3 linked regions of the Bombyx mori genome follow. The protein of the gene in region 1 purifies or fractionates together with the protein of each later gene. This does not show direct contact. Links are inferred from orthologs where the notes say so. Each region holds a gene or a part of one and is shown on either strand. Other genes may lie near its edges.

Region 1 (4,422 bases):
GGTATGGACATGTGATGCGTAGAGAATTGAGGCATGTGACTAGGAGATCTATGGAAATAGTATGAAAAAGGTAGAGGAGGAAGAGGTCGACCGAAGAAGACATGGTTGGAATGTGTGAACGACGATATGATATGAGAGAGACGAGTGAGTGTTGAGATGATGGCTAATAGAAGAGAATGGAAGAGAAAAATTAGCTGTGCCGACCCCACCTAGTTTTTTTTTTATTTCTTAGATATGTGGACGAGCTCAAGCCCACCTGGGTAAAGTGTGTAGTGGGATAAGGTGGAGAAAAAGATGAAGAAGAGAAGAATTTCAATGTAAATTTACACACTTTGTTTTAGTATATTCATAACATCACTTGAAAACAATTTAATGTATGTGCTAACTCAATAAACTCTTGACTGGAAAACTGGACACAATACGAAGACATGGAGAGTATCATAGAACAAAAAATTACCATCATAATTTCACTTCCTTTGAGGTGAAGTTAGAAAAGTCGATATTTAAATAAAATTCAGACTTGTAATTAACGTCTGAAGGTAGCATTCGCTCTGTAACTGACATAATACCAAATTACAAGCCAAACGTTTGACAGAGTTTATGTTATCTCAAGAATATGACTAATGCTAGTGACAAAGTTATCAAACCCCTTACCCAGAGTCTTTATACATTTACTTTAAACGCTTTAGTCCTTATATTATGCATCCTTAAAATCAATCATCTTTATCAATGTTTTGGATAATATTTATTATCCTTTCACATGTTATGTCCGAATCATAACCATCTTATTTCTTAATTTGATGTACTTTAGATTACTTACACTAGTAGTTTCGGTTTTGTCTTTCGTTTCAGTTTCTTCACCATCTTTGTTCAGTTGAAGAGTTTCCCCAGCATGTTTCTGCAGCCATGAGTCATCCGACCAGACAGGTCGTGTGGAGCCTTCTTTAATGCGTTGCGGAGCTGCTATGTTCACTCGTATTGTTCTACCAAATAGTTCTGAATCATTCTAGAAATAAATAGTTAGATTACAAGTTAAAATGAGAAAATATTACTAAGCATGTTTAAATTTTTTTAATTATGCATTCCACAATATGTCTATATTTCTAGGGTCATCTATGTCTCTATGGATGTCATTTTCTAGTAGATTAATAATTTCAAACCTATTTTATAAAAGCTTATTTACTGTGTATATAACTTTTTTCTATTACAATATCCTACACTTTAGTTATGAATGGCAGTTTGATAATGTATTAAGCTAATATTATATTAAACATTTTAGTGTTAGTCAATTAAATAAATTATTAAAATAATCAAAATCTCCTTTAATCCGGAATTTAAAAAAAAAAACCTTTGAAACATGACGTGTATAAATATATGTGAAACAATATTTTATTTACTGTAATAATATGTATTACAAATATAATTATAATATCAGTAAAAAGTATTTTCCAATGATGAGGTTTAAATTACACACAAATAATTTTAATTCTCCCTTCAATACCTTATATTGAGGGGTGAAAGGCTATTTGTTTTAAGTGACATATTTTTTTATTGCCGTATAGGCAGACAAGCATACAGCCCACTTGATGGTGAGTGGTTACCGTCGCTCATGGACGTCAGCAATGCCAGGGGAAGAGCCAAGCCGCTGCCTACAAACATTCGGACATATTGACATTTTTGGAACTTAAAGGCCATTTAAAGTTTAAAATTTGGAAAAAATACCATAACAAATAAACTTCTTTAGCTTTTTTAATGGAATAAACTCAATTAAAGAGCAATTAAAACCATCAAACTGTTCTTGCTAATACCAAATAAAACACACCTTTAATTATGAAGATGAAGTTGTGTATTAAGGAAAATGTTGCTTATACCAAATAGCATTTCACTCTTCAATATAGATTCCTTTAGCTATGGTAGGTTTTGCTTGTGATAAGTATGTACAAACTCATGTCACCAGGTTTATGTAATTACAAGACAACAGCCATCAGAATGTGAATGCTGCCACCCACCTTGAGACATAAGGTTGTAGTTTCAATTGTGGTTATTCCACTGGTGATGGCTACTGTGCCAATCAGAAATCATAAATAAACATGTTGGTGGCACCTACCCCTTGGGCTTACAATATACCCTACCATCTGTAATAAAAACTCGGGGACTTCCGAGTTATAACAACAATAATAACACTTCTTCACCTCTTACTATATTCACAATGGACATTTAAGACCGAAAAAATGTAAGAATTTAAAATGTCAGATATTATTGTATAAGTAATAAATATAGACTTATATATCTTATTTGTCCAAAAATAATTCCTGAATGTAATTTCACATTCTTTAACGATAAACAAAGATGTGTACCCTTCGTTTGTACCAAAATGAGTATTTTGTATCATACCTATGGACTAGAACTGAAAGAATCCATGTCCAGCATCTGCCATGTATTTCACTGTAAAAGTACTGACCATGTTATCAATCGCTGCGGCAGCATCCTCAGCGTTTTCGAACTCTATGAAAGCGAAGCCCCGATGCTTCTCAGTCTCATAATCCAAAGGTATTTGAACATCAACCAAATCCCCGAAAGGGATGAAAGCAGCGTTTAAAACTTTCTCGTCGACCTCCTCAGCTAGCCCTCCAACGTATATTGTCCGCTTAGAATTAGGCTTACTCGACATTTTCACGTGTGTTTATATTAAATTATTCGAAATTTAAATGAAATTTAGGTACATAGCTAACTATTTGTGTGATAGCGCCGATAGCGGTTTGTTTATATCAAACATAACCTCAAAGAGAATGACAATTCAAAAAGTCAAATGTCATTTTGTCAAAGGAATTCATAGACCTATAGGTTTCCTACTTCATTGAAGGAATTAAAATAAACAACATAAGTAATCACTTAATATCTTTGGATTCAATGATTTTCAAATAAACAGTTGATTTTTACGTAATTTAAGGTAAGCTCAGAGTAGCAAATTACACAAACGATAAATATCTCATTCTCAGTTTCAAGTATGATAAAATATTTTCCTATTCGATAGTGAGATATGTAACAAAATAGTTTTCTAGTTGTTTTTTGATTTAATCTAACTAGTCACGAATTAATTTATTGGGAATATCGGCATTTCTCCTTTTTAAACAGGAATTTAAGATTGCTCTATAGCAAAAATAGATAGAAGAGTTCGCCATTGGCGCCGTCTTGCAATCTTTGTATCTGCCACCAGTATATACCAAACAAAAGCAGATAAGAAATTAAACGTGAGGTAGAAACGAAATCCGTTCTTAAAGACGGATGAATAATAAAAAAGTAAAATGGAAGGGAGCTGAAGGGGGCTGGTATACTTACTGGTTAATATAATTTCAACTAGGTATACAGTATAATTACAACTAAATAATCATTACATTACCTTACCAAAAGCCCTGTAATATTTTATAGCAAAAGGAAAAGCAGTGGAAACCGTTAAGGTTATCATTAGGAAAGAGTTATACTATGCGATTCTGACCTACTCAAACTCAAAATTAAATATCTCTTCGGCAGCTCGTTTCTTTTTTAAATACTGTGTTGGATAACAAAGGAACCAAACACCGGAGTGTAATGAAAAAAATGTATTTTGTATTAGTAATACATGTGAATGAAATTGAACGAAATATATGTAATGAAACGATAAGATGGACCGCAAAGTTTTTCAAAAAACTGTCAAATCTGACGGTTTTGACAGATATAGTCTAGTCCTTTAAGGTACTCAAAATAATCTACAGTTAATAAGTATTACACTTCTTATGAAAACAATCTACGAAGGTAATGGACGAATTCTTAAATGCCTCTAGAATTTTCATCTCTTCTTCAAACCTTATCCACCTAATGCTGAGTATAGGTCTCTTCAAATACACTCCATTATTCTAGGTCTCTTGCCTATCGCATCCAGTCCAGACTAATAATAATCCAGAATGTCCATCAAGAACGACCAGCTATTGAAGGGGTGGTGGCCTGCGGATTATGACGCCCGGTGCATTCGGATCGAGCGCTGCGTCCAAGCCAGTAAAACTGTAAGAGCCTATAATAAAAATCAAACCTGCGAAAATTATATAATGCGTAATTACTAATGGTAGGGTGACTTATACGCCCACAAGAGTAGGTAGCAACACTCTGATTTTTACTGCCGTGAAGCAGTAATGTGTTGGTTTTAAGGAACAGCCGTTGTACTGTAAAAATTTAGACCTAGAACTTATGTCTCAAAGTGGATGGCGGCTTTTACGTTGTTGTTGTCTATGGGCTCCGGTAGCACATAACGACAATTGGGCCGTGAGCTCGTCCGTCCATCTTCAGGCTGCCTGAAGTTCAAATCAGTTCAGTTTAGATATGGCACGACTGCCATTCTCGTGTCGTGCCATAAGAGCAAATAAAGTGAAGCCTTCAGACGGATCAAAA
Region 2 (3,657 bases), on another chromosome or scaffold:
CAGGTGATACCCCGTTTCTATAAATCCGTGACCAAATTAATCTGTCACCTAAATTTCATAATCATAAGAATACACAGATGATTCGTGTCTGAATTAAAATGATAAAGTGACTAGCTGTACCCGTCCACTTCCCTGGGCATTTAAAATTAACATTATTATTTCTCACCCCCACAAAGATTCTCATGATTAACGCCCCCGCAACTAGTGTAGGGAGTCCAACACTCATATAAATACTAGCCTACCCGTTAAGTACATGTATTTTCTACATGGATACCAAGTTTCAAGTCAATCTGATGCATGGTTCAGTAGTTATAACGGAACATCCGTAAAAACCACTGTAGATTTATATATTAGTATAGATATGTTTAACTTCTATACAATATATGTTGTCTGTTGGTGAACTTGCTGATCCGTCGACATCTGGTTGAAGCTCAATAGTGTAAGGATGGGACTAGGGTATTTTAACGACTGATCACTTCTGAGTATGATTTATTACTGCTCTCCTAATAAAACGATATATGTGTATATAAGTGCTTACTTACTACGTCACAATAGCATCAGCATTGCTGAACGTCGCTTGAACAGGCACGGCCACGTCCGGAGGCTCAGATATACAGAATATTGTACAGAATACTACTACTATAAAATATTGAATTGTCATCGGTCATTAATAGTTAATCCGACGTTCTGAAGGAGGTTAAAATCGTGTTCAAAAATTCCGTTATATAGTAACATACGTACGTCTGAAGCTAATAAAAGCGTATTAATAAGACTTGACCTAAAGGTTTTAGTTACCAGGTCATAAAATCCCTTAAAAAAGCTAAGTGAGATTGAGTAGGTGGTAACGTTTAGAGTAAGTGTGAACAACATTGTGCAGGCGGCGGCGAAGCAGCGCGCCGGGCGGGCGGGCCGCACCGGGCCGGGCAAGTGCTACCGGCTGTACACGGAGCGAGCCTACCGGGACGAGATGCTGCCCACGCCCGTGCCCGAGATACAGCGGACCAACCTCGCCACCACCGTGAGTGCCGCGCCATGCTCGCACCTCCCGCCAGCGGACCAGAGCTCATCCATATTATCTGGAACCGCTGCGTTCATCGACAGCGCCACGTACCATCCGGATATGGAATGAGCTCCCCTCCACGGTGTTTCCCGAGCGCTATGACATATCCTTCTTTAAAAGAGGCTTGTGGAGAGTATTAAGGTATAGGCAGCGGCCTGGCTCTGCCCCTGGCATTGCTGAGGTCCACGGGCAACGGTAACCACTCACCATCAGGTGAGCCGTATGCTCCTCTGCCTACAAAGGCAATAAAAAAATACTGGGGGGGGGATCTTTTTTTATAGCTTAAATGGGTGAACGAGCCCACAGCCCACCTGGTGTTAAGTGGTTACTGAAGCCCATAGACATCTACGACGTAAATACGCCACCCACCTTCAGATATAAGATCTAAGGTCTCAAGTATACTTACAACGGCTGCCCCACCCTCCAAATCGAAACGCATTCACACTGCTTCACGGCAGAAAATAGGCAGGGTGGTGGTACCTACCCGCACGGACTCAAAAGGTCCTACCACCTAATAAAGGACAATGCCCATTTTCTTTGGGCGTTTGGGCCCCTAAAAAAAAGTTGTCTGGTCATGATGGTTTTAATTTCATTTGATAGACAAAGAAATATCGTTTCATATTCAGAAAATCATTTTTATATTCTCACCCAGGTTTAAGAGAAATGTTTTTTTTTTGGCACAAAGTTGGCCCACTTTTGGGCATTGTCCTTTACAAGTCATAGTAAATTTCAGGTATTACAATTGAAAACAATGGGTATAAACGATTTGCTGCATTTCGACTTCATGGACGCGCCGCCGGTCGAGTCGCTCATCATGGCGCTGGAGCAGCTGCACTCGCTGTCGGCGCTCGACTCTGAGGGACTCCTGACGAGGCTGGGACGCAGAGTACGTTGAGATGTCATGTCATGATATTAGCTTATAATCTGTACCTGCATTGAACAATAAATGAAGTTTGACCTAAAGGTCTCTGTCACCAGGTCATAAAAAAAAAATGAAATAGGAACTTTTTGGCGGGAACGCGAGGAGTGAAGTTGTGTGATTTGCTTTATTTTGTCTATTTAGTGTTTCTTCAGGTTTAAATTTGTTGTAACAGTGGTTTATTAATGGTTAATATCTGTGAAAGTGTACAAATGTGGGAAAATTAAACAAAAGCCGCTGGACGTAACTTCTCGGGATCCTCCAAAAAGTCCACTGAAAAAAATCTCAGTAAATGACCACCACCTTACTAAGATTATATTTCATCCCAAATCATCTCATCTCATTTAATTTCATCCCAGTTGATTAATGTCTCAAACTAATCACCTTCATTTCATTTCACTCCATATTATCATATTTCATAAAAATATGAATATAAATTAAAATAAGACATGACTTAAAGGTCTTAGTTACCAGATCATAAAATCCCTTAAAAATTTTTTTTAAATAACTTAACATTGCAAAAGGCTGGTAAGCAAAACCTATAACAAGCTAACGTTATTTGCTAACGATACGACCTGCTCATGACTCTCGTGGGAAATTAGTGCAGTGGTTTCCCGTTGCCTTCTGCACCAGCATTTTAGGGGGTATTTGATCCCCAAGGTTTCTGATGCCTCTTCCGTATAGGTTGTCCTGATGAGTGTGTACGGTTATACCGCCATTGCTCGGTCGCCATTGCCCTATTAGTTTTCTAGCAGGGAGCACCACGGCAACCTGTTGGTTGCCGCCGCCATCCGGCGCGTGCAGGTGGGGTTGACAATAGGGCCGGTGAAGGTAGCATTCCGATCTCCCCTTACTCCCCTTCAGGAACTCACAGATCTACATGAACTCACAGATAGCAAAATGTGAATATCGTCAATTCATCTCAAAAAATAGGCAGACCCTCAATTCAAGTTTAATGAACCCAATTATTATTTTCAGATGGCCGAATTTCCACTAGAGCCAAACCTATCGAAGATCCTAATCATGTCGGTGGCCCTGCAGTGCTCGGATGAAATACTCACAATAGTGTCGATGCTGAGCGTCCAAAACGTTTTCTATCGGCCGAAGGACAAGCAGGCGCTTGCCGACCAGAAGAAGGCCAAGTTCAACCAGCCGGAAGGGGACCACCTGACGCTACTGGCCGTGTACAACAGCTGGAGGAATAACAAGTTCTCGAACGCGTGGTGCTACGAAAACTTCGTGCAGATCAGGACGTTGAAGCGGGCCCAGGACGTGAGGAAGCAGCTCCTCGGGATCATGGACAGGTAGCCTTCAGCTTTGGTCTAAATTTTGGGTTTCTGCGAACGAGTACCGATGCATTTTAGTAAAGGTCTTGTGACACAAACTACATACTCTAAGTCATTTTGTTTTTTTTTTATTGCTCTTGTAGTCAGAAGAGCACACGGCTCACCTGATGGTGAGTGGTTACTGTCGCCCATGGACTTCAGCAATGCCAGGGCAGAGCCAAGCCGCTGCCTCCGAAATACGGACTCAACACAATTTTCGCTTGTGAATACCGAAAACACAAGGCAGCAATAAATACAAATACCAATTGTTTTTAACAAGCAGACTATATGAACGATTAGTTCGCGCTCCACCTATGGTGCGCTGGCGGTACTTCAACACATAAATACTTCCT
Region 3 (3,657 bases), on another chromosome or scaffold:
TGTGCACTTCTTCTCTATATTCTTTATAAGTGTGGAAGATTTCATACTCCTCCGTCCGCTCAATTTTCGTAAAAAGGGATACAAAGTTTTTGCTTCACGTATTAATATATAGATAATCAAACTGCGCAATAGACGGTATTCCGGCGCTCCGCAGTTTTTACGCCTTAATAGAGAGTCTATCTATCGACTGTTCCCGCTCTATGGGTTAAAAGTTTAATTCTAAATAGATAACGCTCTTTTTTTTGGCAGTTTTTAATTGATGATATAAAAACATTGCCGTAATATCAGAAATTATGCGTGTTATACAATCGACTTTTTTATTGTTATTATTGTATTGATTTACTAGCTTTTGCCCGCGACTTTGTCCGCGTGGAATAGTTCCAAATAATGCTTTATTTTAGAACAAATTTGGTTAGCATCAAAACGTTATAGTGAGCCAATCTTAACATATAGACATATGCTGTCGTGGACTTTTTTTTAGATCTTTTAAAGGGGAACATTTCTGTCATACATTACTTTAGCGAAACTTTAAGCGTTTCAGCAGCGCACGCAGTGAAAGCCCTCAAAAGGGAAAAAGCCCCGATTTTGAAACATTCTTTATTGGTGCTCCGCCTGCATTGGTCTTAGTGTGATGTTATATAGCCTATAGCCTTCCACGATAAATGGGCTATCTAACACTGTAATAATTTTTCAAATCGGACCAGTATAGTTCCTGAGATTAGCGCGTTCAAACAAACAAACTCTTCAGCTTTATAATATTAATATAGATTGGTTACCGGAGCACACGAATATCGACAACGCGAATTCCGCCAGCGACCTTCAACCTTTAGTTCTAAGTCTCAGTTCTGTAATAAAACAGCTGTCCGACCCTTCAAAACGCATTACTGCTACGCGGCAGATCTAGGTATTCTGGTCGTATCTACCCATGTGGGCTCATAAGACTCTCGAGCAGAAATAAAAACGTTTTCCTAGAATCAATTTGTTACAACGCAATGCGGCAGATCTAGGCATTCTGGTCGTATCTACGCGTGCGGGCTCACAAGACGCTCTAGCAGAAATAAAAACGTTTCCTAGAATCAATTTGTTAGAACGCAATGATAAATGTATGTGTACTGTACAAACGGGTCAATGAACGCATACCTCCTTGACATTGAACGCAGAACAACATTGATTGCTTTAAACTCTTCCTACTCGCGGCCGAGTCTGGCTGAAAATAATTCTTCTAAACATTTACGAATTTGTGTAACCTCTAAATATAGAATAGACTTTCAAATTGAATAGGAAACTGTTGAGACAGATGACATACTAACGTTTTGTTTGGCGTAGCATAAGTTAACAGTAAAAAAAAACAATAAGCTAACTGTGTTTTTAAAGAAAACTAAGTAAAAAGCGAATAACTGTGCTATGTCAGTTAAATTTTGTTGAAATGGAAACTTTTACATTACATAGTTACAGTTTCATATTTTTTTTTATTTATACTGTATGAATGACGCGAGAAAAGGACGACGATAATTGACACCAAATTATTTTTATCTGCTTGTCTACATATTGCGGTTATTCAAACATTACGCAATTACCATTCGATCAACTGAACTAGTTTGTAATATCGCACCTTTAGAATTGCAGTGGCTAAAAACTAAAGTGGAAGTCAACTAAATTTTTTTAAGAAAATGAATTAAATACTTCGAACGGCTTATAGAAACGTGTTCTATCAGTTAAAAAAATTAATCGTAAAATGCGAAAGCCGGTTTGGTGGTAGGGAGTCTTGTGAGCCCGCACGGGTAGGTACCACCACCCTGCCCATATCTACCCTGAAGCAGTAACGCGTTGCGGTTTGAAAAATGAGGCAGCCGTTGTACTGTAAAAAACGGAGACCTTAGAACTCATGTCTCAATGTGAGTTTTACGATGTCGATGTCTCTGGGACCCGGTGACCATTTAACATCAGGGGGGCCGTGAGCTCGTTCAAACATATAAGCAATTTAAAAAAAATGTCGTGGTAAGAACCCGGTAAATAATAGCGTCTTTAATAAGAACTCCCGTTTCAAATAAATTCGTGTTATTTATTCCGAATATAACGCTGCCTCCGTTGTTTTGTACACAATAAAAATAGCCACAGAATACTCACGCCACACCATACTACCATGAAACCCGTTTTTATATGAACGAAATTGAAAGTTTAAAGCTCATTTGTATATCCAAGGTCGCGTGTTAATTTAATTCTTATAAAGGCGCCTGTCTCAAACGAACACGCAGGTGGTCGCGAATTAAAGACTTAACAAAACCATTTAATAGATTCGCGTAATTACTATTCGTAAATTATTCGTAATTCTGTCGCGAAGCTATTTCAAATAGGGAATAATTTAATGTACATTCTGTTTTATTTGTTGTTTATTTGTGCGCGATGCAATCATTGTCTGTGGCGTTTAAAAAATGCACATATTTTTAAATCGACGAACAGATGAGATCACGACTCTCTTGATGTCATTTGATTACCTGAGTCCGTGAACATCATACTGCTGCGATATTTGACGGAAGTGTCAATTATTATTATAGCTTTATTTCCACTTAATGCAACTATATAGGTATATGAGATTATAAACTACTTATTTCTTCTTTGTTATGTTGCCCCTTCTTGGGTAAAAGCCTCCTCCATGCTTTTTAACCATTCCCTGTCCTTGGCCAAATGCATCCAACTTGTTCTTGTTATATCAGCAGTCTTTATAATATCATCGAAAAAGTGTCAATACGACTGTTCTACTATTGTTGGAACTGGTACGTAAGAATGTTAGGCAGAGAAATACGGTATGCTAAGAGTCGAAGCTAGGGAAAAGGTATTTGAGTGAAAGGGTATATAGCCCATTTTGAGGCGCTGCTGTTTATACCGGTAGTATGACATTTCGATATAGCGGCACGACACGAGAACCCTCTCTCATCGTGGCCGCCGGTAACTAAATTCCCGAAATATAATCTCAGTAAATTTCAGGTTATTTACTGAGACTTTTTCAGTGAGCTTTTTGGAGGATCCCGAGAAGCTATGTCCAGCGGCTTTGTTTCAGTTTCCCACATTTATGCACTTTTACAGATATTAAACAGTCAATAAACCACCGTTATTACACATTTAAACCTGAAGAAACACTAAATAGACAAAATAAAACAAATCACACAACTTCACTCCTCACGTTCCCGCCAAAAAGTCCCCTACTTGCTCGATGAATCTAATATAACGCCTCGAAATTACCAGAATAGGTAGCCAAAAAAAAGAATCTTACTCGTTCTCTTGTGGATCTTACCTTCGTTGATACCTCCGTGCAATCCGGATAACGAAGCCCTTCACGTTTGCAGAATTTAGCGGAAGCAGAATACGTTGTAGCGGTTTTCATGTACATGCGCCTGATCGGATGGCCTGCAGAGCGCATCTCCATACTGACCACATATAACGGGCAGAAACATCTCATCAGGGACGTCATAGATAAGCGATGTGCCGATAATCCACTCATCGGTCGACCTCACAAGGTGAGTCTTATGATCTGTTTCTATGTTGTTGTTTACTTATTAATAAACTTTAAAAAAAGAGGAGGTTATCAATTCGAATGTATTTTTTGTGTGTGTGTTTTTCATTTGTCCAAGTCAAGCGATTTCTATTTTTTTATTTTTA

What was found. Proteins that work in one complex are often made in the same cells at the same time.
Region 2: the proteins of peptidyl-prolyl cis-trans isomerase (region 1) and ATP-dependent RNA helicase DHX8 purify together in Homo sapiens (affinity purification with mass spectrometry; 3 studies listed by BioGRID and IntAct, counting the BioPlex papers as one, with this or other methods). This does not show direct contact. The link is inferred for Bombyx mori from reciprocal best matches to the Homo sapiens genes PPIE and DHX8.
Region 3: the proteins of peptidyl-prolyl cis-trans isomerase (region 1) and RNA helicase aquarius purify together in Homo sapiens (affinity purification with mass spectrometry; 5 studies listed by BioGRID and IntAct, counting the BioPlex papers as one, with this or other methods). This does not show direct contact. The link is inferred for Bombyx mori from reciprocal best matches to the Homo sapiens genes PPIE and AQR.

The regions. Positions count from the first base shown.
Region 1 is NC_085121.1:14,019,302-14,023,723, reverse strand, and holds the start of peptidyl-prolyl cis-trans isomerase, read right to left. Parts: upstream 2,827-4,422; 5' UTR 2,672-2,826; coding exon 2,462-2,671; intron 1,007-2,461; coding exon 821-1,006; intron 1-820. UniProt on the Homo sapiens protein: Involved in pre-mRNA splicing as component of the spliceosome. Combines RNA-binding and PPIase activities.
Region 2 is NC_085116.1:15,840,567-15,844,223, reverse strand, and holds part of ATP-dependent RNA helicase DHX8, read left to right. Parts: coding exon 1-3; intron 4-877; coding exon 878-1,018; intron 1,019-1,793; coding exon 1,794-1,946; intron 1,947-2,957; coding exon 2,958-3,283; intron 3,284-3,657.
Region 3 is NC_085131.1:6,768,243-6,771,899, reverse strand, and holds part of RNA helicase aquarius, read left to right. Parts: intron 1-3,344; coding exon 3,345-3,515; intron 3,516-3,657.